Linked DNA regions of Rattus norvegicus. The protein of the gene in region 1 purifies or fractionates together with the protein of each later gene. This does not show direct contact. Links are inferred from orthologs where the notes say so. Each region holds a gene or a part of one and is shown in the gene's direction. Other genes may lie near its edges. The genes, in order: Kbtbd8 and Pkn1.

Region 1 (3,820 bases):
TGCGCCATGCCAGTTGCAATGGAGTTTCATAATGCTGTGGAGCACAAAGAAAAAATCTACGTTTTACAGGGTAGGTAGCATAAGGATTCTTCATCAAAGGGTTATGTTTATATGGCAAGGGTGGTTTCCTTGACGATAGCAAAGCAGGCGATACTCCTAGTAGTACTTAATACTTCCTAACCATAGACTGTGCTAGAACATTCACGTAGAAAATCAAGGTCAAAAACATTTAAATTTTTAAAATATTTTTAAGTTACTGAAATGGTTGGTCCTTTGTTTTTGAGTTATGTTCAGATCTCATATAAAGTTTTTAAAAGCATAATAAGTAATAGTTTATTACTGACTACTTTGGAGCATTTTAAAATAAACAATAAGCAAAGGCTAATCACCCGGCTATTTTTGTTCTTTAATAATATAATCAAGAGACTTGGCTACAACTCTTTTATAGAACTTACTGATTGAGTTTACTGGAATTGACTGTTCATTTACCAAGGAGCTTTGTTTTTCTTCCAAGGTTTATTTTTCTTTTATATGTCTGAACATTTTGCCTGCATTTATGTCTGTGTACCAGGTGCATGCCGTGTTCACAGAGGCCAAAGGTGTTGGATCACCTGGAGCTGGAGTTATAGACAGTCGTAAACTGCCATGAGGGTTCTGGAAGCTGAACCCAGGTCCTCTGGAAGAGTAGAGCCGCAAGTGCTTTTAAACACTGAGCTCTATTTCCAGTTCTACCAGGTTTTTGTTTGTTTTGAATCTTATGTAGGCATTTTGCTTGAGTGTATGCGTATATACCACATGCATACTTGGTGACTGCAGAAGCCAAAAGAGGAGAACCCTGGAACTAGAGTCACAGATGGTGTGAGCTGTCCTGTGGATGCTGAGATTTGAACTTAAGCCCTCTAAAAGAGCAGCTAGTGCTCTTAGCTGCTCACTCACATTCCAGTGCCCACAAAGAGTTTCACTAGTTATGAAACTTTATTACAAAGGCTTGAGATTATCATCTTTAGATCTTAGCTTTTTAAAAATTGTATGTATACGAGTGTGCAGGTCAGACATTATTAACATTGGCTGTTTCTATTGTTGGCCACCTTATTTTTTGAGACAGGCTCTCACAGACACTGGAGCTTAACAATTAAGTCGACTAGCTTGCCTCCAGGTCCCTCAGGAGTCTGACTTTCTTTGCTTTTTCACTGCTGTGGTTATGTAGGTGTGCCACCGTGCCCTGCTTTTTCATGGATCCTAAAGGTCTGAACTCACATAGGTTACATTGCAAGCACCTGACCTGCTGACCCCCAGTCCCTTTACATTTTCTAAGAATATTTTAGTTGTTGGAATTTTGAATGCAGTTTAGATTATTCCAAAATTCTTATTTACTATGTTTCTTAAGGGATTATATTCACATATTTCCTTATATGACTACTTTAATAAATCAGGAACAATGTAGGTTTTCATGAAAATATACATGATTATTTTTAAGCTCTATCCCATTTTTAAAAATGATATTCTTTGCTCTAATCCTTTGACTTAAAATTTCTCAGAGAAGCCCGGATATGTTTGATTTAAGTTGCTTATTAATTTTGTAGAATTAATTAAGGTATAGTACTAATGTACTTTAGTTAAAATGAAAGCATGGTTTGGATTTATCTTTGTAAAATATAGGAATGGTTATATCTAGTGTGATGAAGTGTGAAGTGTGAAGTATGTCCCACCCCCACCCATATGTGGTACTGGCAAAAATAGTTTATAGAGATAATTTTAAGGCTCCTAATTGGAGTATGTAGGCTGTATATTAATGTAAATATTATAGCAAAACAGCAATAACTTAATACATTTATGCACCAGAGCGAATAATTTGTAGCCAGAGGTATAAGAAATGTGTAGACAACTGGGTCATATAAGATGTCTTAACTCCCATGTTCTTTATCAAGAACACCAGAATATAAGTCATAGTAGAAAGAAAAGGTAATATGCAAGCAAAGGTTAGGGCTTAAATAAAAGTGAGGTTGAAACGTCACTCTTATTAAGTATGTAATTTAATCTATAGATGAGAATGTCCTTACTTTAGAATAGTTTAAAGGGAAGCTTTACTTAGACTCTAATATTCTTTTCTAACCTACAAAACCTTCTTACATATATAACCTGGTGATAACTGTCAAAGAAGGTTATGTCTTACAGATTGAGCATTCCTAATGTAAAATGCCAAAATCTGAAATCTGAATTTTGAAATTCGAGACTTTTTTGATGTGGTTCTACATTTTATACCCAACCTTATAAGAGGTCACAGTCTAAACGCAGGCACTAAAGATACCGTAGTAATCCGTGTTTTGACATGGAGTAATCCCCAGGATATTTATGTACATGTAGATACTCTGAGATCTGCAGTACTTAGAGTGTCAAGCACTTCAGAGAGAATATTCCAGCCTGCTCTGCCTATAACTGCCTGTCTCTAGACTCTAGTCTCCATAGAGCTGTTACCTACTATCATGAGACATTATTCTGTGTTCCCATTAAGCTTCACATAGCTGCCCATACCTCTAATTCCCGCTCTTGGGAGGGTAGGGTAGGAGGATTTCAAAGTGAAGATGAGCCTGAGTTCAGGCTAGAGACCTTATCAAAAAACAAAGCAGTGTTATATCATTAGCAAGATCTTGGCAATATTCACTATTTTAATTCTTACAGACATTTTCCTATTGACAGTCTGGCTCAGTGCACACACCTTTTTATTGTCAGTTTAGAAGAGTAACTGACTATCAAGTCCATAAATTGTTTGTTGTCTTTGCTTTATAACAACATTGACATAAACACACGAGTGACCACAAGTTCAAATCTAAACAATTCCATATGCTATTTTCTAACCAAGTACCACACATGTATGTGATGTATTTTTTATGGTTAAGTTGTATGTGTTCATGTTGCCTGCCTTACTCCTCCTGGGTCATACATCCCAGTGCAGATTGGGTGTAGTATTACTGTTACTTTGTATATTCTAGGAGTCAAGAATTTGGAAGGAAAATATTGTCTTCTGAGGTTGGAATTAAAGATACAACTAAACATGAAAATGTACATAATTGTTTCCCTTTTCTTTTTTAGGAGAATTTTTCCTCTTCTATGAGCCTCAAAAAGACTACTGGGGATTTTTAACCCCCATGACTGTGCCTAGAATCCAGGGCTTAGCGGCTGTGTATAAAGACTCCATCTACTACATAGCTGGAACCTGTGGAAATCATCAGCGTGTGTTTACTGTTGAAGCCTATGATATTGAGCTAAATAAATGGACTCGAAAAAAGGACTTTCCTTGTGATCAGTCTATAAATCCATACCTTAAGCTGGTACTTTTCCAGAATAAACTTCATTTATTTGTGCGAGCTACTCAAGTGACTGTTGAAGAACATATCTTCAGAACCAGCAGGAAAAATTCTCTTTACCAGTATGATGACATCGCTGACCAGTGGATGAAAGTGTATGAGACCCCAGATCGGCTGTGGGACCTTGGCCGCCATTTTGAGTGTGCAGTGGCTAAACTCTATCCTCAGTGTCTTCAGAAAGTTCTTTAATAAATAGCAGGCCAAAGCACGTCACTGGCATCTCTCATACTAAGGAAGCTTGTTTAGGAAATGCTGTCAACATTGAAGAAAGCTAACAGTTTTGTATTCAGAAATGGGTGCTCGTAAAGATAGTGGTGTTGGGAGGGATTTGCTTTTACCTTCATGATTTTTTCATTTTAGTCAGGAAAGGTAACAAAGTGCAATTATCAGCATTTTTCCACCCCTGGCATAAAAGTATCATCCTAGAATTTTGTGATAAATAGTTGCTGAGAAAC
Region 2 (3,820 bases), on another chromosome or scaffold:
AGGTCACCTTCCGTAACCCCATCATCGAGCGGATCCCTAGGCTCCAAAGGCAGAAAAAAATTTTCTCCAAGCAGCAAGGTAAGGAGGCCCTGAGTGAGCTGGGCTGGACAGCCAAGGACCCCAGGATGTCATGGGTGGTGACCCTACCCTTGCAACTTCAGGGCAGACATTTCAGCGTGCCAGACAGATGAACATCGATGTGGCCACCTGGGTGCGGCTGCTCCGGAGACTCATCCCGAACGCCGTGGCCACTGGCTCCTTCAGCCCCAATGCATCTCCAGGCTCTGAGATCCGGAGCACTGGGTAAGGAAGGAGTGTGGGCCCAATGCCACTTGTTGCTCCTGCTTCCCAGGGTCCTGGGTTCTCAACTCCTTCTCCTCCCTCTCCTGCAGAGACATATCCATGGAGAAATTGAATCTCGGTGCTGACTCAGACAGCTCGTCCCAGAAGAGCCCCGCAGGGCTGCCCTCCACCTCATGTAGCCTGGTGAGTGTTCACAGGGGAGCCTAGGGGATCTGATGCTAACCCAGGATCATCCAGGAGAACAAGACCAGTTGTTTTTGTTGAGTATAGTTTCGGGCTTTGAACTCTTGAACTCCTGCCTCAGTCCGCTGCATCCTGGGATTACCATGTTTGTAGGGTACTGGTGATGAAATCCAAGGCTTTCTGCACGCTAGGCAACGGCATCCCCAGCTCCTCCCCTGTTTCCTATACCTGCTTAAAATATCAGTGTGGAAGCTGGGCAAGGTGGCGCCAGCCTATCTTCCGGCAGTGGCGTGACTGAGCCAGAGTGGTCGCCACAAGTTTGAGTGTGAGTGAGACTACATAGTGGTCCTAGGCCAGTTTAGGCTACATATCCAGCCGCGTCTCAGAAGCCAAAGTGGGGCTGGTCATGGGGACAAAAGTCTGCTCAGTAGCAGAACTCCTGAGCACTGTGCTTGCAGCTCTGGCTTCCATCTGGGCTGAAGAAGGAAAGACCAAACGTAAAGTGTGAGCTGTGACGGGGCAGCAGAGGTGCCTGCGTGACTCCTGTGCTGGGAACGAAAGGTCACCGCAGCTGTGGAGCAGATTTTCTAGGGGGGACGGGATGCTTTTCTCTTGTTTTTGAGATTGTAATATAGCTTTTCTCTTTCCAAATCCTCCTGTAAACCCCTTCTTCCTCTCCGTCAAATTCATAGCCTCCCCTTTTTTCATTAATTGCTAATTGCATGCATCTATGTATGTATAAATATTTATATATTCCTACAGACGTTTTGTGCAATGTGCATAATGTCACATTTCTGTATGTTTTCAAGTCTGGCCATTTAATACTGGGTAACTTTTTCTTTGGGAAGTCAGCCTCTCTCTCTCTCTCTCTCTCTCTCTCTCTTACTCGAAGCACACTTTAATCGGCTGTAGTACTTTCAGAAGGGTTGGGCCTTGTGGGCTTTTCCGTATCCACTGTGGCGTTCCTATTGTCATCGTCCTTGTCCAGCTCACACAGGGTGGTTATGCTGTTGAGTGACAGGTGCAGCTTCTGACACCGCCTCCCCAGTCCTCTGGCTCTTATAGCTCCCCCCTCTTCCTCTCTCAGTGCTCTCTGAGCCTTAGGCATGGACGTGTTTTGTAGCTGTATCCCTGGGACTGGGCCACACACCTCTGCATTTTGACTGGCTGTGGTTCTCAGTCGTGGTCTCCATCTGTTGTAGAGAAGCTTCCTTGATGAGGGTGAGGACCACTTGACCTGCGGGTGTCAGGCAGTGGTGTTCAACCTTGCCCATGCTGACCCTTTAATACGGGTACCACCACTTCCTTATGGTGTGAAAAATAAGACTCTTTTCATTGCTACTTCACAACTGGGATTTTGCTACTGTTATGAATCATAATGTAAACATCTGTGATAGTCTTTTTTTTTTTTTTTTTTTTTTGGTTCTTTTTTTTTCGGAGCTGGGGACCGAACCCAGGGCCTTGCGCTTCCTAGGTAAGCGCTCTACCACTGAGCTAAATCCCCAGCCCCTATCTGTGATAGTCTTATGTGGCCTGTTCAAGAGTCAATCGACCTGCCCCCAGGAAGTCACGACCTGCAGGTTGAGAACCACTGGTCACCATAATATTTAGAGTGTAGGTAGGGGTTATGCTGGTTTAGTATAGTGGTGGTTGTCGGGTCTCCTCCAAGGTCTATGACTTCACCAACCCTGGAGAGTTGGCTAGGTTTCCAGTACCTGGCATGTTTCTCTCTTATTAAGGAGTGGGCCTTAAGGTCAGTTAGGGAGCTGTTGATCTAAAGCACAAAGGAAAAAAATTTATATTAAGGACAAACTGTGTTGCTCTATTGATAGGGGTTACCAAAAGAAGTGGGGGTGCAGCTGTCATGAGCTTCCTCTAGTTCTGTAGCCATAGATGTTTTATTTTTTGGTAAAGAAATAAGGAACTGACTCTGTGAACATGATGAGAGCTGCGTGGGTGCTGGGGTCGCAGCCATGCCATGGAGAGACTGCGTGTGGTTACCAGACATGCCTTTCCTTTCTACCCCTTCAAGCACTTCTAGCTCTGGTAGGCTAGCTAACCATAGGCTGGCCCATTGGTGGTCAGCATCGCTGGGCTCAGGCTGGTACATGGTGCCTGTGCTTTTATCAGCCTTGCCTATCTCTATCTATCTATCTATCTATCTATCTATCTATCTATCTATCTACCTATCCATCCATCCATCCATCCATCCATCCATCCATCTATCCATCTGTCTGAGACAGGGCCTCTCCATAGCTCTGGCTATCCTAGAGCTCACTTTATAGACCAGGCACGCCTTGAAATCACAGAGATTGCCTTCTCTCTCCTAAATGCTAGGATTAAAGACATGTGCCACCATGCCTGGCTTCTTTTTACAATTTTTATTACCATTCACTTTATCTTATGTGAGTGTGAGCGCTCATGGAGAGGTCAGAGAACAACTTGCAGGAGTCAGTTCTCTCCTTCCACCCTGTGGGTCCCAGGGCTCAAACTCCAGTTGTCAGTCATGGCAGCAGGTGCCTTCACCCTGGTGTTGGCCTCGTTTTCCTTCCATTTTGATCATTCTGCCCCAGCTTCTCGAGTGCTAAGAGTGTGCCTGGCCGCTGTCTACCTGCTGCCTCTTCTCCATTTGGAAAAGGAAAGAAGCTGGAAGCCAGGGTCTCACACTCGAGGCCAGCACTATACTACGAAGCTGCACCCTCAGAGCCTGAGTCTTTTGTTGGTTTAACTTTTGTGTTTGTATGTTGTTTTCTTTGGAGGGGGACTCATGTGCTACACCTTCAGGTGTGGAGATCAGAGGACAACTACAGAAGTTGATTCTCTCCTCCCACCTCTGGATCCAGAGGTCTCCCTCAGGCCAGCAGGCTTGGTGTAGTAAGCACCTTCCTTCTCTTGAGCCAAGGATGCCCCAGGCCCTGATTCTTTTCAGTCATATGCTCATGTGGTATGCCTAGGCTAGGTTGAAGCTCTGTACCAGAATGCTCACCTAGTAGGAACACGGTCCTGGGTTCCATGCCCAGCATTATAAATCAGTCAAGCCATTAATCTGTAAGTCACCATGTGGTTGCCAGGAATTGAACTCAGAACCTGTGGAAGAGCAGCCACTGCTCTAACTACTGAGCCCTCTCTCCAGGCCTAATCTGTGCAGGTTAAACCCAGTAAATTAAATAAGCCCACAAAGGGTATTTAAATATGCAGAATTCTGGGAGGAAAATGGCAGATGGACAGGGTGTGCTAAGGGTCTCTGTTCTTTAACACAGGAGTCAGCTGATCCTCATATAGACAATATCTCAGGAAGGGTTACAGAGGAGAAAGAGCTGGGCCATGCAAGCCT

Evidence for each region.
Region 2: the proteins of Kbtbd8 (region 1) and Pkn1 purify together in Homo sapiens (affinity purification with western blotting; 3 studies listed by BioGRID and IntAct, with this or other methods). This does not show direct contact. The link is inferred for Rattus norvegicus from reciprocal best matches to the Homo sapiens genes KBTBD8 and PKN1.

What each region holds. Positions count from the first base shown.
Region 1 is NC_086022.1:129,239,307-129,243,126, forward strand, and holds part of Kbtbd8 (kelch repeat and BTB domain-containing protein 8), read left to right. Parts: coding exon 1-70; intron 71-3,090; coding exon 3,091-3,554; 3' UTR 3,555-3,820. UniProt on the Homo sapiens protein: Substrate-specific adapter of a BCR (BTB-CUL3-RBX1) E3 ubiquitin ligase complex that acts as a regulator of neural crest specification.
Region 2 is NC_086037.1:41,367,177-41,370,996, forward strand, and holds part of Pkn1 (serine/threonine-protein kinase N1), read left to right. Parts: intron 1-2; coding exon 3-78; intron 79-161; coding exon 162-303; intron 304-392; coding exon 393-486; intron 487-3,820. UniProt on the Homo sapiens protein: PKC-related serine/threonine-protein kinase involved in various processes such as regulation of the intermediate filaments of the actin cytoskeleton, cell migration, tumor cell invasion and transcription regulation.